3 linked regions of the Neurospora crassa OR74A genome follow. The protein of the gene in region 1 interacts with the protein of each later gene in a pairwise test. Links are inferred from orthologs where the notes say so. Each region holds a gene or a part of one and is shown on either strand. Other genes may lie near its edges. The genes, in order: act, NCU04637 and crn.

What was found.
Region 2: the proteins of act (region 1) and NCU04637 interact in binary tests that used the Saccharomyces cerevisiae proteins (3 or more experiments, as listed by UniProt). The link is inferred for Neurospora crassa OR74A from reciprocal best matches to the Saccharomyces cerevisiae genes ACT1 and RVS167.
Region 3: the proteins of act (region 1) and crn interact in binary tests that used the Saccharomyces cerevisiae proteins (3 or more experiments, as listed by UniProt). The link is inferred for Neurospora crassa OR74A from reciprocal best matches to the Saccharomyces cerevisiae genes ACT1 and CRN1.

What each region holds. Positions count from the first base shown.
Region 1 is NC_026505.1:5,085,575-5,089,569, forward strand, and holds act (actin, variant), read left to right. Parts: upstream 1-1,195; 5' UTR 1,196-1,531; coding exon 1,532-1,538; intron 1,539-1,678; coding exon 1,679-1,709; intron 1,710-1,855; coding exon 1,856-1,911; intron 1,912-2,029; coding exon 2,030-2,060; intron 2,061-2,138; coding exon 2,139-2,910; intron 2,911-2,974; coding exon 2,975-3,205; 3' UTR 3,206-3,206; exon of another isoform or gene 3,207-3,275; 3' UTR 3,276-3,673; downstream 3,674-3,995. Other genes in the region: NCU04174 (hypothetical protein), read right to left, coding at 3,948-3,995. UniProt on the Saccharomyces cerevisiae protein: Actins are highly conserved proteins that are involved in various types of cell motility and are ubiquitously expressed in all eukaryotic cells.
Region 2 is NC_026505.1:1,372,283-1,383,293, forward strand, and holds NCU04637 (BAR adaptor protein RVS167), read right to left. Parts: upstream 6,058-11,011; 5' UTR 5,342-6,057; coding exon 5,306-5,341; intron 5,148-5,305; coding exon 3,806-5,147; intron 3,729-3,805; coding exon 3,703-3,728; 3' UTR 2,958-3,702; downstream 1-2,957. Other genes in the region: NCU04638 (hypothetical protein), read right to left, coding at 1-1,600; NCU04636 (cysteine desulfurase), read left to right, coding at 6,666-6,936, 7,009-7,832, 8,021-8,443; NCU04635 (hypothetical protein), read left to right, coding at 9,683-9,784, 9,848-10,039, 10,117-10,371. UniProt on the Saccharomyces cerevisiae protein: Component of a cytoskeletal structure that is required for the formation of endocytic vesicles at the plasma membrane level.
Region 3 is NC_026503.1:2,985,914-2,997,042, reverse strand, and holds crn (coronin-6), read left to right. Parts: upstream 1-4,115; 5' UTR 4,116-4,309; coding exon 4,310-4,343; intron 4,344-4,498; coding exon 4,499-4,587; intron 4,588-4,708; coding exon 4,709-4,851; intron 4,852-4,913; coding exon 4,914-5,060; intron 5,061-5,116; coding exon 5,117-5,538; intron 5,539-5,604; coding exon 5,605-5,641; intron 5,642-5,696; coding exon 5,697-6,645; 3' UTR 6,646-7,095; downstream 7,096-11,129. Other genes in the region: NCU00204 (hypothetical protein), read left to right, coding at 578-1,043, 1,107-1,285; nst-5 (SIR2 family histone deacetylase), read right to left, coding at 1,330-2,568; NCU00201 (hypothetical protein), read right to left, coding at 7,199-9,215, 9,482-9,585; trp-1 (anthranilate synthase component II), read right to left, coding at 10,249-11,129.

The sequences.
Region 1 (3,995 bases):
TAGGCTACATATCTATCTCCGTCGGATCCCGGACCGGGGCGGCCATGGAGCCTTCAAGACACTCGGGCCCCGGGGCCATGGGAATTGCGATCCGGACAAGCTCCAAGAGATCGTGATCAGCCAGGCTCCAACAGAAGAGACGGTAAAGAAGACATTGGATCTTCTGGAATTGCAATCGCGGTTCTCCAGGAGGAGTAATAAACAAGTAATGAACGGGGTACGACAAGGGACAGCGACCAGGTACGACGGCAACGACGCAGGGGAGGGACATTAGGTTGAAGAAGACTGAACGCTGACACAACGTCGGGGGCGGACCCAGCCACGCACCACGCTCCCACCGTGCTCACTAGGTACTACCTACGCTACGTACAACTGAACCGTCTGTCTAGCTGCACCCGTCGAACGGCACGCAGCGGTGACGACCCCGGCCGTGCTGCGATATGATATCCTTTTACATAGTATACAAGTCAGGTCGTGTAGGTATCCAATGTAGTTAGGTAGACTGAAATCAAAGGGGATCTTGAACGGGCTGCCAGTTGCCAGACGGGCATTGATGTCAACCTAGACGTCGCCTCCGAGGTGCGGAAGCCTCCCAAAGTGTGTTGGCGGCAGGAAGATCCCCTTTGCCCTCCCAAAATTAGGCGGTGTCTCCTACCCACTTTCCAGACGGATCGCAGGCCACTCAGGAATCCACCTTGAGCCACCTCGAATCAGGCATGATACTGCGACTTGACAACTTGTCCACGAAGATGCCAGAGGGCAAGGGGGCGGTGCGGCCAGTGATTTGATGATTTAGAGTAGGGGTGTGGAAAGCGAACAGCGAGGGAGAGGGGACGGCCTGGGAAGAAGGCAGCGCAGTTACCTCTAGGTTTGTACTTGTAGTCTACTGTGGTGATCCATCCCGTCGTGAACCGGGCAACATGGAGTGCAGGCAGCGCAGCAGCCCGGCGAGGATGAAATGAATGCTTGTTGGGACCTGGAAGTCGGCCGGGCACTCACTGTCAGTACCACTCAGTGACATCGGTGTCGTCCTTGCCCGCCTTTCCTTCCTCCTCCTCCTCCTCCTCCGCCGCCAAGTCCCACAACCACGCCGTGAGGTGACCAGGCCCAGTCCAACCAACTGGACCTAGCAGCCAGCAATGCCCAGTGCAGACAGTCCCGGCCCAGTCCCGTCCCCAATGGAATCAACCGTCCCCTCCCCTCCCCCCCCCAGTCCGCCATCCGTTCCCTCGCACCTGGCACCACAGCAATCCCATCCCCTTACCTCCCCTACCTTTACCCCCCTCAATCCACCCGCCGCCTCGTACTCCCAAAGCTGACCTTAAATTCACCTCCCCTTTTCCAACTCTTCCGCCTACCGAACAACATCCAAATTTTTGCCCAAACAACGTCTCTACGTCCTTCGGCAACACCTCTCTCAGCCAAAGCATCATCGCTCCATCGATCCGGGAATCGTCGAGCGTATTTAATAACTCTTCTTCTGTACCTTTTGCTTAATCCGACACTTTTCGTCACCACCTAATCTATCACAATGGAGGGTACGTAACAACATGTCCACATTCCTGCCCAGTCTGCCCGCGCTGGCGAGCTGGTCGCCGGCGGATCGGACTTCTACCATCGCCATCTCCCTCTACTGGTTATCATGGGCACAAGCTGATTCATGCGTTCCCGCCAACAGAAGAAGTTGCCGCCCTCGTCATCGACAATGGGTAAGCTTTCCCCTCCTTTTCGCCTGCGCCTCACCGACTCCTAGGAGAAGCGTCATATTCCTCCCGCAATCGACGCCTCGCGGCCCCCCCATAGCCCGTTCTACATGGTGAACAATGACGATGGACAGTAGCTAACAACCGCCCAGTTCGGGTATGTGCAAGGCCGGTTTCGCCGGTGATGACGCCCCCAGAGCTGTTTTCCGTAAGTGTTCCCACTATTCCCGCGAGGTGCTCTTGCTTGAGACGGGCAACGTGTCAGCAGAGCTACTTGCCTCCCCGCCAAGACCCAACGTCCCAGCCATGCTAACATGTCGCGATAGCTTCCATCGTCGGTCGTCCCCGTCATCATGGGTATGCATGCCACTTTCCCCCCCGCGTCCCGTGCGCGCAACACTCCAAGACTTTCAGAAAAAACTGACAACATGCCAGTATCATGATCGGTATGGGCCAGAAGGACTCGTATGTCGGTGATGAGGCTCAGTCCAAGCGTGGTATCCTTACTCTCAGGTACCCCATCGAGCACGGTGTCGTTACCAACTGGGACGACATGGAGAAGATTTGGCATCACACCTTCTACAACGAGCTCCGTGTCGCCCCCGAGGAGCACCCCGTCCTTCTTACCGAGGCTCCCATCAACCCCAAGTCCAACCGTGAGAAGATGACACAGATCGTTTTCGAGACTTTCAACGCCCCCGCCTTCTACGTCTCCATCCAGGCCGTCCTTTCTCTCTACGCCTCCGGTCGTACCACCGGTATCGTCCTCGACTCCGGTGACGGTGTCACTCACGTCGTCCCCATCTACGAGGGTTTCGCCCTTCCCCACGCCATTGCCCGTGTTGACATGGCTGGCCGTGATCTTACCGACTACCTCATGAAGATTCTCGCTGAGCGTGGTTACACCTTCTCCACCACCGCCGAGCGCGAAATCGTTCGTGACATCAAGGAGAAGCTCTGCTACGTCGCTCTCGACTTCGAGCAGGAGATTCAGACCGCTGCCCAGAGCTCTTCTCTCGAGAAGTCCTACGAGCTTCCCGACGGTCAGGTCATCACCATCGGCAACGAGCGTTTCCGTGCCCCTGAGGCTCTCTTCCAGCCTTCCGTCCTTGGTCTCGAATCTGGCGGCATCCACGTCACCACTTTCAACTCCATCATGAAGTGCGATGTCGACGTCAGGAAGGATCTCTATGGCAACATTGTCATGGTAAGTCCCCGTTCGCTGTGGAGATGGCAGTATAGGCTAGGTCCGCTAACAGAATCGTCACTAGTCTGGTGGTACCACCATGTACCCTGGTCTCTCCGACCGTATGCAGAAGGAGATCACTGCTCTTGCTCCTTCTTCCATGAAGGTCAAGATCATTGCTCCTCCCGAGCGCAAGTACTCCGTCTGGATCGGTGGTTCCATTCTCGCCTCGCTCTCGACCTTCCAGCAGATGTGGATCTCCAAGCAGGAGTACGACGAGAGCGGTCCCTCGATCGTGCACCGCAAGTGCTTCTAAAGTGGGTGCCCTTGAGAGGTGGTTGTTGCAGTTGGAAGCGGAGCGTCGTCGGCTTACACCATGTATGTAGTTCAATAAATGGACAAATCCACGACTGTCACGAGCCAGCGCCAACTGGGGACATAACACCCCTATCTGCGTCAAGTAGCATGTCTGCATTGCGCGTGTATTCTGCACAGGTCTCTCTTATACAAAAAGTAGCGAGCGTGGTCAGAAGGGGGCTGGCGTCTCTTTTCTCTACTAGAAGACATAAATAATGGCCTTTTTTTTCTGTTTTCTGGGTGGGCGGCGACGGCTGCGAATGCGTGGGATAGGCGCGGTCAAGTATGCGGGCTTCTTGATCTTGCCAACACCCTTTCTCTATTTACTACACTTTTAGCAGCAAGATTTAGTCACCACTGGGAAATTCGAGGTTATCGTGGATGAAGAGATCATCAAAATTCAAACAGCGTTCTGTATTTCTGAGCACCTTCAGCTGCCCTTTCGTTGGTCGTGAGATACGTGCAAGCCAAGGAGAAAAGGGGAATTGCTAGCCGTCAAGGTATCGGATCCACCGTAATGTCTTATTGACTTGAAGGGGAGGCGGCCATACCTACCGAATCCAACTAAGCGATCCTCACCGCTTCAGGAACCGAGTAACAAGCAGCCGTTTCCTTATGATCAAACATGGCCAGGATTGCAAACCAGTGGCAGAAACCACAGATGGCTTTTCGCTGACACAATGGGTAGGTATTCTTACTGTCTAGTGTCTACCGCCATCCGCATTGTTTCCTCCGCGCTTCTCAGCCTT
Region 2 (11,011 bases), about 3.7 Mb from region 1:
CCTCGGCTTGGTATTGATGCTGACGCACCACGCGATTCGCCTGTCTGATCTTGCACTTGATGTGGTACCCGGGCTCATTGGCCTTGCGCCATTCCAAATACTCCTCGTACTGTTGTTGTTTGATCGGATCCGGGACCCGAGGCTTCGTTGTCACGGGAAAATAAGGGCGGTCAACCTTGGATTCCGGCTGAGCTTGTTGACCTGCGCCTTTCAGTGGAATCGACGGTTGTACTGGCGGCATTGCTGGCACTGCAGCCTGGGGGTACATCGATCCTAAGCCGCTGATAGGAGCCGACGCAAAGGGTGGAATGGGCGGCCGCATTGAAGGTAGGAAAGTTCCAGTCCCCAAAGTCGCTGCCATATCCGGAGATTGCATGTTGAACTGCGGAACTGCCATCGATGGGGCGGTAAGTGGTGGAAATGTCCCAAAGTTGCCCAACCCTGGTCCTCCAATCCATGAAGCAGGGGGAAATGGGAGAGCTGCATTGGGTTTCTGTGGCGGTAAGCTCAAGCTGGGATGAGTAAGAGCCATGGGATTGACATCGGACAGAGCGGGATTATAAAGATGTTGAACAGGAGGAAGGCAAGCTTGCTGGGTGGGTGGAACCTGAGGTGCTTTTCGTTGTTTGGCCTTCAAACCAGAATTGACGGGACTTGGCTGTTGAATCTGCAACATATCAACTGCAGTGCCTATGTCCTGCCTCGTCTGAGCAGTTTGTAGCCTATCCAACGAAGGGAGAGCCCCGGCCACAGCCACATCAGGAGTTGGGTTGAAAAGAAGCGATGTAAGCGGGCCACGAGATAGCTTTTTGGGAGAGAGCACGGGCAGATGTACACTGTCAGTCGAGATTTTGAACTCGGCTGCTGCAGGATTCAATTTCTTGGTTGCGATTTGGGCCTCCAAACTTCTTCTTGTGGCCGCGGCCGGCTCGTCTTGGAAATCCCTAGAGTTGTCCGACGTTGAGTAATGTACGATGCACGATGGGTTGCTACCGCTGGCGTACCCAGAGTCGCTGAATCTGCCCTTTCTTTCAGGGCGCGGCTCGGTGACTTGGTTCAGTTGGGTATTTTCGAACACTGCACCATCCTTCAGTTTGGCACACAGAATGGCGGGATCAGCAGGTTGTAGCTTGCTGCTTGGTACCCTGGGCTTTACCAAGGATGGAGTTGGCAGGCGCTTCTGGAGACGGTTGATCATGTTGCGAAAGCGTTTCTCCTCGTCATCTTGAGGCTTTGTTTCCGAACGTTCAGACGCGCCTGTACTGTCTTTGGAATCCTGGGGCCTATTGCTAGACAGGGGCGCATCAAATGGGCAACTTTCGGGCTTCCTAGAAGGGGCATTTGATGTGGGGAGTTCCCGAATGGTGTTTAGTAAGGCCTGGATATCGTCCGGGAGCTCGCGGTCGATAGTCACCCAGTCAGAGGAGATTTTGCCGCTGAGGATTCTGGGATCTAGGACGCGTCTGAGTTCTCCAAAAGTAGGGGAGCTGGATGAGTCATCGGAGTGGTCGCTTTTGAAGCACTTGGGGCGGATGTCGAAAGTGAATCGGTTAGGTAATGGTATGTTTTCGCCGTTGACGTTCATGAGCATTGGCTTCATGTCTTCAATATGAACCACTATTGGTTTCTGAGCCGAGTCAATTGAATGTTCAGAAGTACCTGCAGAGTGCGCCGCTGATTGGTTTGAGACTGAGCGGTCTCCTGGTGCTGATGAAACCACTTCCTAAGCAGTTTCGCCGTCATTCGGGCGGTAGAATCCAGGTTCGCGAGGCATTTCCATGGAGTGCTCTGTAGCGCTCGACCGTTGAGCAATCTTTTTCCGGAGGTTCCCCTTGTTTGACATTCCAGGGGCAGACGCATACTTGCGCCAGTCATCGGATGCAAGTGCTTTTCCTTTTCCATCAAAACCGACTGAATCCCCCACAGTAGTCTTGACTTTCAACGCAGGAACTCTAGAGCGGCTAAAGTTCCTGCGACTGGTGATGTGACTGGTTACGGCAGCCATATTGTCTGAAATCCCACGGATGTCGCTCGATGTGGGTGCCTTCGGTCCTTCAAGGGCGTAAAGGGTCCTTCCTGGTCTGAGACGTGTTAGTCAACTGCATACTCATGAAGTGTCCACGCAACGATAATCGAGCTCCGAGTCATCACGTTAATACTTTGTGAAAGGAACTAAAAAAACAACTCACGGCAAGTCCAGGAGAGCAGCAGTATCGCGTTGGTGTCGTGAACTGGAAGAACAAATCCGGTGTTGGTCTTCAAGCCGAATCTGTGTATTCGTTGATTTTTGGTAGCGGACTCGGATGTTTTGAATGGGCCTGTCTGTTCCGCGGGGACGATTGAGAGAAGAGTCGGCAACAAAATAAGGCCAGGCAAGTCCAACGCAAATTGATGGGACTGATTCAGACAGGCTGTCGAGAGTGGTCTTGCGGAAGGGGATTGGTAGCCGGGGGTGTTTTCTTTCTTTTAGTGCAAGATTTCCTTCGTTCCAAATAAAAACGCTTGAAGTGTATCAACACGAAGAAAGAGGCCAGGGGAGAAGAGATGACATAATACTGCGAACCGCAAGACAAATAGAGAGACGATACCCAAAAAATGGCGGCCAAAAGATTGCCTGGAGTCTGCGAGTTACGCTGCGCTTGGTGGTAGTGGTGGTGTTTGTGAGAAGAGGAAGAAGAGTTTGTGTGCAAGTGAGAAGAGGGGAATTAAAAGCCCATAGATCTGGGTTTGCCCGACATACTGGAGATTGTGACTCCCTGTCTTGCTTCACAGCCACGGAGGGACTCATGGAGAATTGGAGGGAGGAGCATACAGCTGGGTTGCTTGGCGCATTATTGGAAGCTTCTGTTAGCCTTAGTCTTGTACAACAAGGCAGGTGCATGTCTCTCACTTGAAGCTAAACCAGAGGACCTCGCTATCCAGGGCACCGAAGCATTGCATCTTAGCTGGAGGCCATCGTTCAACATCGGTATTTCCAATAAGGACCCTCCAGTACACTTGCCATGGCTTTCAGTGATACCTACCTGTAGATGAGTAGCAGATATGATACACATCTTTCTTTCCTCCCAAAAAAAAACCTGAATCCTTGGAGTCGAGCCAGGAGGTGAAGCCGAGCCAGGTAGTTTTGACAAGGCAAGCGGTTGTTGGTGACACTAGATTCAAGCTGAGCTGCGTGGTCGTTGCGTTAACAAAATTAGAAATTAGCTTCACCTGAGGAAGCTTGACGCGCGGGCAAGTACCTAACCTAAAGGGAACAAACCACGACGGCGATCATGGCAAAACGCATCTAATCAAAACTTCCAGGTTTGACCCAATGCACTGTGACCTTTTCACTCCGTTGCTTCCTTCGCTCCAAAACAATACACCCGCCATTTCCCTAGACGCAAACACCCGGGACCCTCTCGCTCCACGCTCCTCGCAGGTCCTCCTTCGCGACGGAGTTTCCTCCTGCCTGACTATTCTCAACAGAGTCACCTGCCGCATATCATTGCATCCGTATAGGATCACCAAGGCCCTGCTACAGAACGTCACGGCCTGGTACGATGTAGACGAACTAGAAAGAATCCGTGTTGTGGTTGCAAATGAATAACTCGACCATGAACGGGTCCACAAAAAAGGGGTATAGGTTGAAGTCGTGCTGAGAAGTGAAGTGTGCTGAAAGCAACTCTTTGATAACTACATTTACAAGTAGCCTTGTATCCTCTAGCTGTTTAACTGGACATAGTTTCCTAGCAAAAGACCATTGTGTCAGAACATATCCAGCTCGCAACAAAGCAAGCACCCTAAGAAATAGTACAGTACGTACCTGGGAATTGACCCTGCTTTCCATGCAACTTTCCAATCCACCACTCATTCTCGTTCGCAGTCCTTGTTACTATCTCAATCACATCACCGGCACGGAAGCTCAGATCGCCCTCCGCCTGCGCCGAGTAGTCGTAAAGCGCTGTGACGGTCTCTACTTTGGGTGCCGCCGCCATGAGGGCCTTGGGCTTGGGCTTCGGCGGTGGGGGCTTGGCCTTTGCAGCCGCCGCCATGGACAACGACGAGGGTTTCGGGCTGGCAACTGGAGCGGCGTAGGAGGCGGGCGTAGCATGTAGCGTGCTCGGCTTCACCGAATACGGTGGCGGCGCATGCGCTTCTACTGTTTCCGCCTGGGTTTCCCAAGGTCGCGGTGCTGTGACGGCAGGAGCTTGTTGTTGCTGTTCCCAGGGGCGTGGGGCTGTGACTGAGGGAGCCGCCTCAGGCGGACCGGTGGAAGTGGTCGTGGAGGAGCCAGCTGTAAGTAGGCCTGCTGGCTTGTTTCCTTCGAGAGCGCCTGGACGTTGGTACTTGGGCGGTCGCTTCATACCCGTGGTCTTGAACTTGACAATGGAGAGAGCCTCAGCCCGCTCCTGGACGTCACCTCGCTTCGCGTAAAAGGCCTCCTCAATGTCCAGGGTCAGGTCGAAGTAGCCAATGTCGCAGTGCTGCATCTTCTCGTGCAAGGTGTAGAAGATGTTGAGCTGCATGTAGTAGAAGGACTGGAAAAGCGGCTGAATGAACTGGCGTTCGAGGGCAAACAGCTTGGGTAGCTCGTCCTTAAGCAGATCGTTGAAGTAATTGTACTCTTGCGTGGCCTGCTCAACTTCGTTCTCAGCCTTCCACATGGCCTTCTCGTCCTTTGCCGACCGGTCTTTCTTGTCCTGGAGCTTCTTGAGGGTGGCGCGGTGTCTGTCGTAGTCCAGCTTCTTGTGCTCGCGCTTCACGGCCGTTTTGCGAATGACCTTGATCACATCGAGGAGCTCGTTCGCTGGCCGAATAACCCTAGCCTCAATCATTTCCAACTCTGGCGCCAGTGTTTCCTGCAGGTCCTTGACAACGGCCTCGTACTCCTCGCAGGCGGCAATACCCTCATAGTTGCCATGGGGAACGAGCGAATCGGGATCGGACATGCGGCCGCTGATGGGCTTGTAGATTTCGGTCATTGCCTTTGAGAACTCGATTTGGTGTTGCAGCATGCCATTGATGGCCTCAAAGTACTTTTTGCTTTCATCGTGAAGGCGTTTGGTCTCGGTTTCGAGCTCCTGGAATCTGCGCTCCGAGTCGATGTAGACAGGGTCTTTGGTATGCTCGCCGAGGTTAAACTTTTGCTTGAATTGTTGTGGTGCCTGGTTTCTGTCGTGTTAGTGCCTGTTTGCCAACCCGAGTGATTCGGCGCTATTTCTGCCACAGACGGGGGACTCGACGGGAAGGGCGGAAGTGATGATGACGCTGTAACCGAAACTAGGGGAGGTGAGATCAACTAGGTATGCGGGGCAGAACCTACGCGGACCACGCTTTTTTGGAAGCCCCTGAAGCTCATATTCTGCTACGAAGCCGTATGATGTCTGATGTGTATTCGGTGTTTGTATGGAGATGCGCAAAGCGGGTTGCTGTTCGGAGAGGTTGAAGGCAATCGGTGGTCGAGTGCCCTCTTCAAGTCGGATCCGGATACGATGGTGATGACGCTGGGGGTGGGCAGGGGGGCGGTGCAGGTCGTTTGGCTGGTGGACGAAGTCTTGGCTGAGCGAAGCTTGCGACGGTTTGCGTGGCGCTGCTATTTGCTGAATGTTGGACACGCCGCACACAGCGACCTCGTTCCAAGATGTAGTGTGAAAAGTCTTTTTGTCTAGGCGTCTTGTGATTTCGGTTTGTTCTTGAATCCCGTCGGTCGGACCCTTGTCAGCAGTTCCGTTCGAGGTCCGACAAACTTCCTCGGGGAGGATTCGGTCTTCAACGGTAGGAGGTAAAGTAGCTAGAGGTAGCTGTCCTAGAGGTAAGATGCTACTAAATAGTTTAGCAGTGTAAATGGAATTCAAGTAGGTTGTCGGCGGTTATATGGCATGTCACTGATGGTTCAAGTTATAGTCCAACGCAGACATCCAATGCGAATGGAAACAGAATACTACCGAGGAGGTAAATAGGTACCGTCATCGGTTGTTCTGCTTTTGGTCGATGAGACCCCGGAAAGGAACGAATTGGAACGACGGGGTAGACCGACTGGGTCTGGGGCCCGCTGTAGTGTAGCTTTCATCCCAGTGGACATGCCGATTGAGAGAACAGATGGATGCCTGCCCCGGGTCAGTGCTCTTCCTTTCTGTGCAATGATGGATCAGATGCGTCCGCGGAGTCCGTTTCACAAGTGGACATTCCGCACTGTATTTGTCAAGTCAGTCGCCGCGGTGCACATCGAGCGTTCAGTTTCCGTCATGCCCGGCGGCCCATTCTCTAACATTTTGGAGCAGCGTCATTTTCGCCGTACGTACATACGCGCTTGTCCGATGTCCGAGAAAGAAACAGGTGGGGCCATCCGATGGCAGAATGACCAATCAAAGTGCCAAACCTTGTTGGTTGTCGCCCCTCATTGGCACATTCCTTTATCACCGACCCCTCCGAGGCCAAGTCCGCGTGCGGATGCCGTTTGTTTCGATTTGTTCTTTTCTGTATGGCGGAAATTCCACTCCGACCGCCGAAGAGCGGGAGGCGGCAGCTCCATCTGAATTTCTGAGTGTGTTTTGAGCCGCCCCGCCCGCTGCCTCCATCCGTTTTTGTAGGTTTGGTTACAAAACGAACTTTTTCTCCCTCATCCGCCATCACCCTCACCACCATATTCTCTTTTCCTCTCCTTCTTTCTTCTTCCTTTTACCATGTCCACCATTGCGCCGTCCGTCTTGCGACAGGCATCGCGCTTGGCCGCGGCCGCTCCTCTCCGCAGCGCGCGTGTGCTGTCGCGGGCGACTACTGCGGCTGCTGTCAAGACTGCTTCTGCTTCCAGGAGCTATGTGACCGAGACCAAGAGGAACAACGCCGACGTGCAGGCCGAGCATGCTATCAAGCTGGATCACAGGGAGATGGAGAAGCAGGGCCTCACTATAAGCGCGCAAAATGGCTCGAGCCAACACGTCAGCCCCATGGCTGGTAAGCATCATCATCACCTCCCACCTCTTCGGAGACATATTGCGCAGTCGTCCTCGTTGCTGACTCAACTAGATGTTCTCAGCAATGCTACCGTGATGGATGAGGGACAGCGTCCCATCTACCTGGATATGCAGGCCACAACCCCCATCGACCCCAGAGTGCTCGATGCCATGATGCCCTACTTCACCAACGTCTATGGCAACCCCCACTCGAGGACACATGCCTACGGCTGGGAGACTGACAAGGCCGTTGAAGAGGCGAGGAAACACATTGCTGATCTGATTGGCGCTGACCCCAAGGAAATCATCTTCACCAGCGGTGCCACCGAAAGCAACAACATGAGTATCAAGGGCGTCGCTAGGTTCTTTGGCCGGTCCGGCAAGAAGAAGCACATCATCACCAGCCAGACAGAACACAAGTGTGTCCTCGACAGCTGCAGGCATCTCCAGGACGAGGGTTTCGAAGTGACCTATCTCCCAGTGAAGAGCAGCGGCCTGATCGACATGGCGGAGCTGGAGGCTGCCATCCGTCCCGACACCGCCATCGTCAGTATCATGGCTGTCAACAACGAAATTGGTGTCATCCAACCCCTCGAGGAAATCGGCAAGCTTTGCCGGTCCAAGAAGATCTTCTTCCACACCGACGCTGCCCAGGCTGTTGGCAAGATCCCCGTTGACGTTAACGCCATGAACATTGACTTGATGTCCATCTCCTCCCACAAGATTTACGGCCCCAAGGGCATTGGTGCATGCTACGTCCGTCGTCGGCCAAGAGTCAGACTGGACCCCATTATCAGCGGTGGTGGTCAGGAGAGAGGTCTTCGCAGCGGCACGCTCGCTCCTCCGCTCGTTGTCGGCTTCGGAGAGGCGTGCCGCATCGCCAAGGAAGAAATGCCGGTATGTTACAGTCTCTTTTGTCTTCCTTTGCCCCTTTTATGATGAGTCGCTTTACACATGCATGGCTTTCTGAAGTCCCGTGACAAGGACTCCTTGTTGATAGACAGCAACTTCTCTGATCATGATTCTTCCATATCCCACATTTAATGCATCTCTCGTTCAAGGATGGGCGCTAACTGTTACAACAGTACGACTCCAAGCGCATCAAGCACCTTTCCGACCGTCTTCTCAACGGTCTGCTCTCCATGGAGCACACCAGCCAGAACGGTGATCCCAACCACTTCTACCCCGGCTGCGTGAACGTTTCTTTCGCCTATGTCGAGGGTGAGTCCCTCTTGATGGCCTTGAAGGATATTGCACTTTCTTCTGGCAGTGCTTGCACTTCGGCTTCTCTGGAGCCTAGTTATGTTCTCCGTGCTTTGGGTAACAGTGATGAGAGCGCCCACTCCAGTATCCGTTTCGGTATCGGCCGGTTCACTACCGAGCAGGAGATCGACTACGTGCTCAAGGCCGTAACGGAGCGTGTGGGCTTCCTCCGTGAGCTTTCTCCTCTGTGGGAGCTCGTCCAGGAGGGTATCGACCTGAACACGATCCAGTGGAGTCAGCACTGAGAGGTGACATGATGTGGTTGATGTGCGGTATTTTAACACGGTTTATAAACTGGGCGGAGTTTCTATTGCATTTTTATTTCTCCCGCTGCGCTGCCTTTTCACAAACACTACAGGCCGCTCGGGTTGTTTATACGGCCAACTTTACGAATTGCCGAGGCTCCCGCAAGGACGGAAGCAAGGGGCAAAACATGACCCATTGTATACTATCATGTATGTAAGCGATATTTGCGGATGACCTTTGTTTTGATGAGCAAGAGAATGATACCATAGGGCTGGGAGGCGGCGCTCGGAGGTGTCAGAAGAACAATTCATCATTCATATAATGGATACACATAATTCCCCAGCACTGTGGCTGATAAACGTCTTTTTTTCCATTTGACTTTGGCTGTGTGTAGATCGTGTCCATTTTGTGACTGTTCTGAACCCCCCAACCCGATGGTTCTGCTGAAGAACTCTACAAAGGGCGTGCGTATACAATGTGGCCAGTTACCGAGGTCGAAGGCCAGACAATGAGTGAGTGTGTACATAGTAGTGTACGTTCTCAGAACTAAGGGTCAAGGGTTCCACCTGAAAACCGCCTTGGTGTTGAGGGGCTTAGCTCGGCTCGTTGGTGGCTGCGACGACTTATGATGTCACAGTTTCGTTTGAGATGGTGGGATGAACTGACGAACGAACCCCTATTGGCAGCCTCTCGCCTATGACATCATAGTCTCTGGTGTGCTTTGTGAGACTACAAACGACATCTTCACAGGCACACACTATGGTAAGGCCATCCAATGGACATTGCTGCCACATGCAATGACTAGTAAGTTGCTGGAAGCTACGAACTGGAACAAACAAGAAAGACCATGACTGGACCAATTAGAGCAAAAAGCGGGTTAGACATTTCGGAAGTGATGAACTGACACAAGGCTCACATGGCCATTTTCAGGCCTCTCCAGTCCGTCATTGCCTCCAACCCCAGGCCAAGATTTCGGTAGGACCCTGAATTTTCATGGACGGGAAGGTCTGTTCTGGTCATCCGATCTTGCTTTTGTTTGTCTTCATGCGGGTTGTGTTGGACCTTGTGCAAGTCGAGCTTGGGATATATAAAGAAAAGATATCCTGCCCCTTAAGACAATTTTCTGATCATCATTCCCACGATACAATCCATCACTCAATAAACCACAACTACTCTCCAACAACAACTTCGAACCGATCCATCACCACATCAACCTAAACATACCACAACCACCCAACATGTCTACCGAGAACAACTCCACCCTCAAGTCCTACATCGACTCCGCCACCGGCGCTGTCCAGAGCGCCGTTGGTAATATCGTTGGCAACCGCGGCGATCAGGTACGGTTGCAGTCCTTTGGTTCACACTCACCTCGTTCCCATAACTAACACCCAGGACTACAGGCCGAAGGTGAGCTCAAGCAGGAGAAGGCTCACGCCGAGCACGCCGCCTCGCACGATACCGCTAAGGTCCCCGGCTTCACGGCCACCTCTGACGGTGCCGTCGCCGCCGATCACCCCGACCGCACGTCCGGTTCTTGGAAACAGACCGCCGGCGCGGCCAAGGAGTTTATCGGTGGAGCTGTCGGCTCTGAGGTATGTCTATTTGCTACCTCCATTTTTTCACTCTTTCGTCTTCGACAAACAGCTCGCTAACCTACCAATTGCTACAGGACCTCAAGCAAGCCGGCCGCCAACAAAACCGCGAAGGCCAAGAGCAGGAAGCCCGCGGCCAGGTCAAGGACCTCGGCGAGGGCGCCAAGGATCGTTTTACCGGCCAGCTCGGAAATGCTGCTGCCGCGCTCGTCGGCGACCGCGAGAAGCAGGCCGAATATCAGTCTCAGCATGATGTTGGCAAGGCCCAGCAGCGTGGTGCGGAACATGATATCCAGAAGGAGGCTGAGGCGCAGAAGAACGCTGATCTCTAAATGATCGAGGAAAGACTCCGTCTTGAAAGGAAGGAAGACGAGGTTGAGGATGGATTAAAGATTATACCCCCCATTTCACCTATTGACGAATTCATGACCACGCAACGACTTTAGTTTCGGATAATAAACTGTTATTCTGAACAATATTTTTGAGCATGATTGACGCAAGCGAAGATATCGTGATGTTGACTGATATGTCGATGTCGAAACTTTAGTTATGGTTTGGCGAATATGGAATGGCACTTGGACTCACCATTCCAGAGACAGGGTGTTCGTCTCGATGACTTGGATCAAAACGATTCGAGCAGGCCTCAATTTATGGTTTTGACATGTGCGGGCTGCCGTGTACAGTGTTGCGGAAACAGGCCCATGTTGAAGCTCACTGCAGGATCGAGACTTAAATTGCTTGCGTGAGTACTTCCCCTCAGGCTATCCGGCATACTTCCAAGATTCAGTTTTTATAGGGGTAAAGCCCAAAAGTTTGAGGTCGTCATCCGCCCCAAACAGGAAGTTTGAGGAAGAGAACTGAAGTCGAAACCTTGAGGCAGAAGAGGGCCGGGATGATGAGACGAGATGATAGATAAGCTGATGGAGACGTCAACGGGATGAGCGGGCAGTTGCAGGGGGCGGCACTGCAACA
Region 3 (11,129 bases), on another chromosome or scaffold:
GTGCATGGAGGATGGCTGGAATGTAAATAAGATGTGGAAGCAAACGCCAAGGTGGATTGCGAATTGGTGTCCAACAATGGAGCTCCCCCCGGTCACGAATCCGGCTGCTGAAGACGGGGAGAACGAACCCTTGTTGGCGGGATGTTGACTTGGTCGCAACAAAGATTCAACGAGTTCAAGTTGCCCGGGCAACTGCAACGCAGGTACGAAAGCACACGGTACGTACCTCACTACGTGGGGCGCATCGGCCAGCCAGGGGCAGCGGGATGGAATGGCAGAAAGACCCCACCTTTGCCTGCCGTGTGAGGTGGGATGTCACTTGTGGGAATTTTGGCGCTGTGTCACTCACTGCAACTGAACTGAACTGAACTCGAGTGAACTTTTTGCCCGAAGTGGAAGAAGAACGAAGCTTCGAGTCCGTCGTCTTCTCACTTTCTCTTTTCAGGGTCTCTCCCAGTTTCTCTCCCGCAACACTTGATTTCGACAACTGCTCTGATCCGTCGCAATCCTACTTAGGCTTCAACAGCCACCGAATCCCAACACAAGACAACGCGACATTTCCGAATTGCTACCTACCATGCGCCGAACTTCTCTTCCTCAGCGCCTTGGGCGCAATGCGCATGCTGCCTTGCTCCATCGTCAAGTCCCCTCGACAGTTCTTCGAGCTTCGTTTTCCACCTCGATCCGCCTCGCGAGCGGCGCCCCGGATGTAATCGTCCCTAGAGTCGCCAAAGTGTCATTTTGGAAGTCGTTGGTTCCCAAGTTCTTGCGATTCGGCGATGACTCCATCAACCACACAAAGATGCCGAAATCGACCGAGTGGAACCCGGCCACCTTCTTTATCATCATCTTTCTAATGATCGGTTCCATGGCTATCCAGATGATCTCGCTCAAAAAAGACTATGCGGCCTTTTCGCGCCAGGCCGATGTCAGGATTAATACCTTGCGTGAGGTGGTCGAGAGGATACAGAAGGGTGAAGAGGTGGATGTTGAGAATGTGTTGGGCACTGGCGATCCGGAGAAGGAGGCTGCTTGGGATGAAGGTTCGTTAAACGCAGGTGGATATGATACGGAGAGCACAGGCTGATATGAAGATTCAATAACAGTCCTCAAGGAGATCGAACGCGAAGAGATCATGCACAAGGCAAAGCAACAAAAGGCGGCGAAACTTGCCCAGCAAGCCAAGGCAGAGCCCGTAAAGGAACAACCCCAGACGCAGACCGAGACCCAGACCGAGACAACGCCCAAGATCTCGCCTGCAGCCCTCAAGGGTGCCTTCTTCTAAGTCGACAAGACCTTTTTATTCTATTATTGATAGATGGGCGTCCGCTAGCGGACCCGTCCAGTAAACAACCTGCCCACGGGTACCTCGGCCACCATGGCCCCATTGTTATAACTCTTGAGCTCCTCCACGAGCGCCGGTAACAGCTGTTCAGTAGCCATCTCCACTCTAACCCCATGAGGACCGGCCATCTTAGGGTCTAGATCTTCAAAGAACATCTCTTCGCGCCTCACACCACCGATGCTCACAATGGCTATAGGCATTCCTCGGAGCTTCGCCCGCTGTGCCAGCCGCCAAGCCGAGTAGGTCGCGAGAGAGGTGCCTAAGATGAGCATTCGTCCGGCATTGTCAATGGCCTTTTCCGCCTCGCTCTTGACCTCGGCGCTTATACTCTCTCCAAACATGATTACTGCCGGTTTCAGAACTCCCGCAGTACTGGACGGTATCCATGCACCATCTTTGTCGATTTCTACCCATGTCTTGGTGCCATCTGCAAGACGTGGCGGCTCCTTCAGACACGACGGACATGCTGGGTAACGAAACGTGGTGTAAGGTGCCTCGGCCAGGTCCACATCACCATCTGGGTTCATCTTGATACCCTTCTTGTTCCGTTCTTCAATGTCCTCCGTCTCCAGGGCTCCTGATGCCAGCGCCTCGCGAAGGAAATCGGCCCAGATCGGGTTGAGCCTGGCCAGTGTGGTTTGATACTCATCTCGAGGAAATTGGTTCCGGCACGATGTACAAACAACCGAGGCTAGAGTCCCGTGCAATTCGACGGTTTGTATATCGGGATGGCTCATTTTGTGGAAGGAATCGACATTCTGTGTGATTACACCCGTAATGCTTTTGTTGTTTCGGTCACCGCTGTAGCGCTCGGTGAGCAGATTCCCAAGGTCCCGGATCGCGTAGTGGCCCGGGTTCGGGCCGGCCCGTCCCAGACCCCTCCATCCGATGTAGCTTCGTGCCCAGTATCGCTGCCGCGTCTCGTGGCTGGCGAGAAACTCGTGGTGGAAAATCGGCTTGTAGTCCTTATTGACCCGGTAGGTGCCGTTGACGCCACGGTAGTCGGCTAAGCCGCTGGCCACGGAAAGGCCGGCACCGGTGAGGATGACAGTTCGATTGGGTAAACCGGACGGCGGAGGGGCGGTGAGGAATGACTTGAGAGCAGCCACGGCGCCGGGCAGGGTCGTGGCGGTGGCAGGTATGATGGTGGTCGGGGGAGGCAGCTCTCGGTAGGGAATCCGCATTCGGAGGGTGCCGGCTGCTGTTGTCGCTAGGGTGGACATTTTGATGTGCTGCCGTATGATTCGGATCTGATGGGTGGCAGTATTTGTTGTTAAGGATAACGAGGCGGCACACGCCGCTACCTACAATGCCAAATCTCCATGTTGGATGTTGTGAAGTTTGTCTCAGTCCAGATGCGGAATCACAGTGGCACTCGGTGAGATCGAGTCAGTGTCGTCACCGAAGATCCGAAAAGCTCGGGCCATCTTGGCATCTGCATGAGCTGCGGAACAAAGAACAATTGTTTACTTGCCCCTTTCGAAGAACATGATGGTCATTGACATATAACGAATTAGCTTGAACTTGATAGAATGGCTGTTGAAATTTTCCAGACGGGTTTCTTTTTGTAACACTCCAATTGAAGAGGTGCGTCTATCCTGTATTCCCGTTGGGTTGGCTTTGCTTACATTACACTAGTTCTACACCATTACGGGATCTTGTCCCGCCCCATGCTTGGTGGGGTGGCTGAAAGCTCTCGTCTACATAAGACCTCAAGGTGGTACTTGAACTCAACAGAGTCGTATGGTCTAATGGTTATGATTTCTCGTTCACATTAGTTGAATCTGATCCGAGAAGGTTCTGGGTTCGATCCCCAGTACGACTAAGTTTTTGACTTTTTCTTCACAACGGCGCCATCATAAGGAAATGCGTTTCCATCACTCAGTCTGTTATTTTTTCGTTTTTGGTTTTCTGTCTTTGATCCCGTCTTCCAGATGCCGAGAAATAGCGCTCTATGAATGGGATGGTGACAAGTTTCCAGCAAAGTCGATTTTCAATTTTGGCTGTCAACATCAAGACGTTGAATAATATCGATCCATGCCAATCGATTCTATGAACTTTGATCTAATGACATTGACCAACTAAACAAATCTCTCTGAATCCCGAAAGTTCGGGTATTTTGTCACATGAGTATCTTTGCGCAAGCACCATCACTTGTTCAGGCTTTCTTGTTGTAACATTGTCTTGTGTCAACATGATGGATCCACACTCAATGCGTGTCCCCCCTGAACCCCCTTTTCGAGTTTGTTTGTATCCAGCGAATACATGATGCCTCACCCTTGACTTTCAGAGAGCCATGCAAAGACACGCAATACCTCCTTACTAGCTGCCACCACTCGCACAACACATCAAGTAAAAATCCTTTCTTACTTCGCAACAGTTGGATCTCATTTATTATCAGATGCGACCGGATGGCTGAAGGACTTCACAAAGGTCCCAGAGCAGCATTGGCGATGGCGTGCGAATCGAACGTTGGGAACACGGGGAGAGGGGCAGGCAGTGGGGAAGTGGACCAGCTAAAGAGCTCACTTGCTGCCCTGGAACATGCGCCGAAGCCAAGCCGATCAGGGACGGGTCCACGCCGACGGGACCTGCCCGGGACTCAGCCGCGCCAGCCCAGGATGGCCTAGTGTAGTCGGTTTAGCAGGGCAGTCAACCACCTCAACAGTCGCTTGCTGCACCAGGCACAGGCAGGGCCAAGTATCGGTCAAGTACCCGCCTCTGAGGTGTGTCTGGTACTAACCTCCTGGTTTATTACTACTGGCAGGTACCACTGTACCCCATCGGCCGGTATCGATTCCCAAACCACCAAAACACTGAAAGTCCCCCCCCCCCCCCTATCTCAGCTCCCGTCTAAACACTCAGTAATCCATAATCGAGTCCAAGATTTATTTCCTTACTACACTATTATTCCCTTATTCCTACCAGCTACCAGCTAGCAGCTTACTGCCCTAATCCCTCCCGATGTCCGGCCGTTTCGTCAGAGCGTCGAAGTATCGTATGTCGATCCCCCGTGTTCCTCCCCCGAAGGCTCCTTAGCACACCAGCTGGATGGATACTGTAGCTCCCGAGGTAGCGCGCCGTATCCACGATGGGAGTCGCGACGAGCTTGGAGAGAGAGACATGGACTGACACGATAGCCGCGACTGCTAGGACACGTCTTCGGCAAGCCCACGCGCAAGGAGTTCTGCTACGACAACCTTCGCATCAGCCACAATGCCTGGGACACCAACCTCATAAAGGTAGGTACCTACCTGTTTAAATACTTCCTGTGCTCCTACGCTCCTCTCCACTACTTGCGCCCTATCCATAGCTTCCATGGTCGTTATATACTGACCGTGTCTTTGTCTCGCCTACACCTAGGCCAACCCCGAGTACTTGGCCGTCAACTGGGAGTCGAGCGGTGGTGGCGCCTTCGCCGTCATCCCCCTCAACGAGCGCGGCAAGCTTCCCGACCAAATACCGCTGTTCCGTGGCCACACCGCCGCCGTCCTCGACACTGACTGGTACGCTCTTGCGCATGCGCTACAACGACCCGACAAGACAATCTGACCTAGGCTCCTCTTAGGAACCCCTTCAACGACCGCTTGATCGCCTCTGCCTCCGACGATGGAAAGGTGTTTGTCTGGCAGGTGCCCGAGAACTTCACCCTCTATACAGACGCCGAAGAGCCGGCCGATGTCTCACCCCTCAGCAAGCTCTCTGGCCACACGAGGTACGATCTACACCCTGAAGATAAGATTCAGTAAGGCTTGCGCTCACACAAACCAGAAAGGTCGGCCATGTCCTCTTCAACCCCGCCGCCGAAAACATTCTCGCCTCGTCGTCCGGCGACTTGACGGTCAAGTTCTGGGACGTCGAGACCGGCCAAGCCCCCATCGCCATCAAGCACCCCGACATTGTGCAGTCTTTGTCGTGGAGCGCCAACGGCACAATGCTTGTCACCACCTCTCGCGACAAGAAGCTGCGCGTGTGGGATGTGCGCCAGCAGTCCGCAGTCCACGAATACCAGGGCCACGAGGGCGCCAAGAACAGTCGTGCTGTATGGCTTGGTGAACACAACCGTATCGCCACCACTGGTTTCTCCCGGATGAGTGACCGTCAGGTTGCCCTGTGGGAGCCTGGCAGGAAGGACCCCATCGGTGGTTTCACCTCGCTCGACTCCATCTCTGGTGTCTGCATGCCTTTCTGGGGTAAGTCACGCTTGCTGGACCATGGCTTTTGTATGCGCCGAAGCTAACTGTGGTCTTTTTTCGTAGATGACGGCTCTAACTGCCTGTACCTTGCTGGCAAGGGGTAAGTTTGTCGCAACCCGAGATAGGAACGATAGATAGCATGCTAACGTCCGCAGTGATGGCAACATTCGTTATTTCGAGTACGAGAACGACAAGTTGGAGTTCCTGGCCGAGTACAAGTCTGGTGACCCCCAGAGAGGTATTGCTTTTGTGCCTCGCCGTGGTGTCAACGTCCACGAGAACGAAATCATGAGGGCCTACAAGACCGTCAATGATCAGTACATCGAGCCCATCTCCTTCACTGTTCCCCGTCGTGCCGAGACCTTCCAGTCCGACATCTACCCCCCTGCGACCGGCCTCAAGCCCGCCGTGTCCGCCCAGGAGTGGTTTGACGGCAAGGACGGCATCCCGGCCAAGATCGACATGGAGAGCATCTACGAGGGTACCGCACCCAGGGAAGTTCCGGCCGATTACAAGCCTCCCACTGCCGTCTCGTCTCCTATCCAGCCCCCCGTGTCCAAGATGGAATCCACGCCCCCACCCGCTACTCGTGTGCCCACGTCGACCGTGGCGGACCAGAAGGCCTCCATGTCCGCTATTGCAAACAAGTTCCAGGATAACGAGGACGCCGAGCCAAGTGAGGGCGAGTCCTCTCCCTTCGAGGAGGTTTCGCGCCCCGCTGCTAGAGCCGCCGCCCCGGTTTCTGTGCGAACATCCCTTCCTCCCGCTTCCGCCGGCAAGACACCTTCCCCGACGACGTACCAGACCCCAGTCCAGAAGCTTGCCTCGCCAGTCAGGACCACCGCAGCCGCCCCTGCGCCTGCTTCTACCGCTTCCCCTTCCTCGGGAAACGTCGAGGCCTCTCTTTCCCAGATCACGCAGCTTCTTGAGCAGCAGAGCAGGATTATTGGTGCACAGAGCGACAAGATCCAGGCCCAGAGTCAGATCATCAGCCATCTTGCCACCGAAGTCGAGACCCTCAAGAAGAGGGTCGGACCCGGCCCGCAGGATCAGAGCGAGAGAATCAGACAGTTGGAGCTGGAGCTCGAGGCTGCTAGGTCGTAAGAGTCAGAGTTTTGAGAGTTCAGGTCCAAAGTTTATACGTCCCTCTCGCTCTCTCACTGGGTTATACTGTCAGACCAGTCCTTGAACATACTTCTCTCTCTTACCGAGTTTATAATGAAAGTCGACGTTGTTGGGGTAAGTAGTAGTTGGACACGTAGGGGATGGATGCAGGATGATTGGATGACGACGATATAGCTTTCAAATGGGGCATGAAATGAAAAAAGCAAGCAAGCAACTTGAAGCAGATGAAGATCAAGAAGGAGAACAAGGACAGCATAGCCAAGGCAAGCAAAGGAAAGCGTTCAATTGGTGTCTTTGGAGTATAGTAACTAGTTTTTCAACCTGTTCGTGCTGTATACTGTTCGTGTGAGCTCTCCCGATTCGTTGATGTAGTGAAGTTATCTAGGATATGGATACACTGCCCGGTAACGATTACGGTTTCGGTATGGACATTGGAAATCTGTACTCTTACGTGAGGCAAGTTAAACACAAGTAAGTAACCAGTTGACGGCATCAAACCCTTACCTACGTGACCAACGAGACGGCCGGCCAGTTAATACTCATTTATCATTGACTCCCGAACGTGATCTACAAGCGGGTAACTATCATAATCCCCATCTACCCCTTCACTTCCAATCCACTCTCCCTCACCCCCCACATAGTCGTTGTCGTCGTCGTCGTCGTCGTCGTCGTCGTCGTCGTCGTCGTCGTCGTCGTCGTCGTCACAACGATCACCCAAAAACCTCAAGATATCCTCATCCTCACTGGCATCAACCACCAACTCCAAATCATCAGCCAGTATCCGTCTCTCATCGTCCGAGTCCTCTCCCTTTCCCCCCTCCCATTCTTGATTGTCATCATCCTCAGCCCATTCTTGACGAGTCTGATTCTTCTTCCTCCTCGTCCCCGTCCCTCCTGGTACTAGTGACTCACCGGTATCCGTACGAACACTACTACCACCACCACTACCATCCATACCTCTAGCCATTCGCAGCATTCGCTCCCGCTTACGTTGTTGATAGCCAGCGAACCACCCAGTTAAAGTCTTCCGCTCCTTGTTCTGTTCCTCCTCATCATCTTCGGTCGAGGAGGAAGAGGAGGAAGAGGACCAGGAGGAGGGGGTTGTGGTTGTCCATCTCGATCCGTATACTTTGCTGGTGTAGCTTCTTCTTCTTCTTTTCTTTTTAACACCCCGCCACTTGCGGAGGGTGGTGCGCTTGATGGCTTTGGCGTACTGGAAATCAGCGGGTTGGGCTTCTTTGGTCCAAAAGGTGTGGAGGCGGTGGCGGCGGTGGGAGAAGTATTCGGTGGGTGTGCAAGGGGGAAGTTCAAAAGGGTTGGGGATGGAGGTGTCGGATTCCTGGGAGGTTTGTACTTGATCTTTCGGTTCGTTTTCCTTTTTCTTCTTCTTCTCCTCTTCTTGTTCTCCATCCTCCTTTCTACCTCCCGCGGCATCCCTCGCCCTCTTCTTACCCCCCATCACCCACTCCTTGATCTCTCCATCCTGTATCCTTCTCTCCTCCTTTCTCCTCCGCATCTTCACCAAACCCTCACTCAAAAACTCCAACTCCCTTTTCCGCCAACTCGGCAACGCAAACTGTCTTTGCAGATCCTCCTGCGTCAAGAACCCTCCTCCTCCGAGCCAGCTCTCAAGTGGTAAATACCCCTCTGCCGCGGCTATCGCCTCTTTCTTGCGTTTATCCGTCTGCTCGTAACTTTTCATGACGTCCCGTATCTGGTTTCTCACAATCTGCAGCAAGTCTTCTTCTTCTTCTTCTTCTTCTCTTCCCTCTAGGCCTGTGGTCCTGACATATGCAATGAAGGGAACTTCAGAGTTGAAAAACCTTTTCAGTCCTGGCGTTTGTTTTTTGGTTTTCTTCTTCACAAGCTTTTTTCCCGTCATCTCCATCTCCATTTCCTTGCCTTGTCGTGTTGTTGTTTCGGGGTAAATCAAGTCCGCAAGATCCCGCTTCGTTACCTTTATTGCTGTTACGGCCGCGAAAAGGGGGTGATCTATCCACTCTTCCCTGTTCAATTCCCACTTCTTTCTTTCCAACTTTTGGTTCCCCGGGATGACCTCCTCCTGGGCCCTTGGCTTCCAGATCCATGATGTCTTTTTGTTCAGAACATAGTTTGATGATATGCGTTCTGGTGGTGAGGGTGGTGGTGCAGGAGGTGACTCTGGGTGTGCTTTGACTGGGGGAGAAGAGGAGGTGGTAGAGTTGGTAGACTTGATGGATCTCTTAGAGAGGGAAGTCTTGGATGAGACGTTTGACTTGGCGTCGGAATCGGATGCATTAGGGTCGGTGTTGCTTTCATTGTCGGTGTTCTGGTTGTTGTTGTTGGTGTTGTTGTTGGCATCATGACCGGGCAGATCGAGCGAGGTCGAGCTTTGTTGCTGTAATGCTGGATTCGCCGTGGACAATCTCGTCGACTTGCCAGACTCAACAGTTTGTGTAACCTTTTCCGGAGCAAAAGACCCATCCACATTCTCGTCCTTCACAGAACCCTCCCGAATCTTCCTAAGTCTCGCAATCCGCCGTGCCCTGCTCACCAGTGATTCTAAAGGTCTCTTTTCATCATTCCCACCACCTGCAGCACCACCACTATGTCCTCTACCACCAACACCCGACAACTCCTTGGTAACACTCACCTCTCCAGTCTCTTTCTTCCCGCCTTCATTTAAAGACCCCTCCCCCTCCCCCTCCCTCAACCTCCCCGAACCTACCATCGGCATCCACATCCTACCCCCCATCGGTGCTACGTTCCGTGCTCCATCCATCTCCCTCAACACGCACCACTCAATCCCATCCCTCACACACCTCGAACACCTTACCTGTAATCCTGGAACTGGGAGAGGAATGTCCGGTTTATATCTGTACCTGTACCACCATGGCGGGGTGAACTTGGGGCGTCGGTTTTGGTCACGCTGTTCGCCATGGTTGAGTAAGTTGAGGAGGGAGCACCGCGGAGAGGAGGAGACGAGGGAGCAGTGGAGGCAGGGGACGGAGGGAGTGTACACTGTTAGGTCTATGGGGTAGGGATAAGGAGGGAGACGGGGGAGAAGGGGTGGATTATTGTCGGATGGATGTGGAAGGGGGTTGTGGGTTTGGCGGGAAGGGAGCGTTGTGTTATGTGGCTGGGACATGGTTGGGCAATATCGGCTTGTAAAGAAACATCGGCTGATAACTGGTGAGATGATCCTTAAAGTTAAAAGTTTGCTTCGTGGAAGGGTTGGTATATATGTTGAGATTCTTCCATTTTCAAGATGAAGAGTCCAGGAGTTGCTGTCTCGTTGCTGCTTTGTCGACAAATCAGCAGATCAAAGCATTGTGGTGCGGGTGGTGTCAGGGTGTGGAAGTCCATAGTGTCTGTCATTTGAACACTGAGGATGTCCCGGTATGAATCATGACAAAGAATAAGGGGTCAGTCAGTATCCCCCCCAGTCTTCTCCAGCAATCCATATCAGTTCTGTTCTGTCACATTCGCATTCTGAGTCGTCAGAACCATGAACATAATCACAATTCCACCTTTTGAGAACCCATATAGAGATACCGAAAGAAAGAGACTTGATTTTTGGGCCTTAACCGCACCGTAAGCTTTTTACCTGACAGACTTGGCAGCCTTAACAAACTCCCTGATCTTCTCCAAGCTCTGCTTGCCTCCCTCCTCAACGCCACTGCTAACATCAACACCAATCACCCTCTCACTCAGAGGCCCCAAAGATTTTACCGTCTCGACAACATTGCTAGGCTCCAATCCGCCCGCAAGCAAGACGGTTACCTGCTCATCCTTCTCCAACTCCTTCTTGACAGACTCCAAGTCCAACAACGTGCCGGATCCAGCGCCCGAATCCAGCAGGGGCACGGCATGGTACCCACGGGTCGCAAGACCGACCTGGCCGGGCTTGAACTTGCGGACAACGGGGACTGGAATAAGGTTGGCCCACTCGAGCGGCTCGTCACCGTGGAGCTGGACGATATCGAGATCGTAGAGATGCTGCTTCTCGAGCACCTCCTCAAGGGGCTGGTTCATGAAGACACCTACCAGCAGAGGTCCCCGCTTGCGGATGATCTCGGCGTTGATATTGAAAAAGTCCCTTGCGGACTTGGAGGCTTGCGAGGAGACCTCGGTGGATCCGGTCTTCTTGCTCATGTGCACAGCCTGGGAGATGGAAAGGGCGGTCTCATGGTCGACGCAACGCTTGGTGCCTGGCACCATGATCATGCCCACAAGATCAGCACCGGCCTTGATGGCTTCCGCAGCGGCCTCGGCAGAACGGGTGCCGCAGATCTTGACAAGCAGCGGCTCGGCGGCGGACTTGGGCACGGGGCCCGTCAGGCCGGCGCAGAGCTCACGGATGAACTGGGTGGCATCAGGGGCACGCATGATGGCCTCGCCGACAAGAATGCCGTTGACACCGTCGCGCTTGCAGTCAAGAACATCTTGGTGAGTGTTGATGCCGCTGAGAGCGCAGAGGAAGG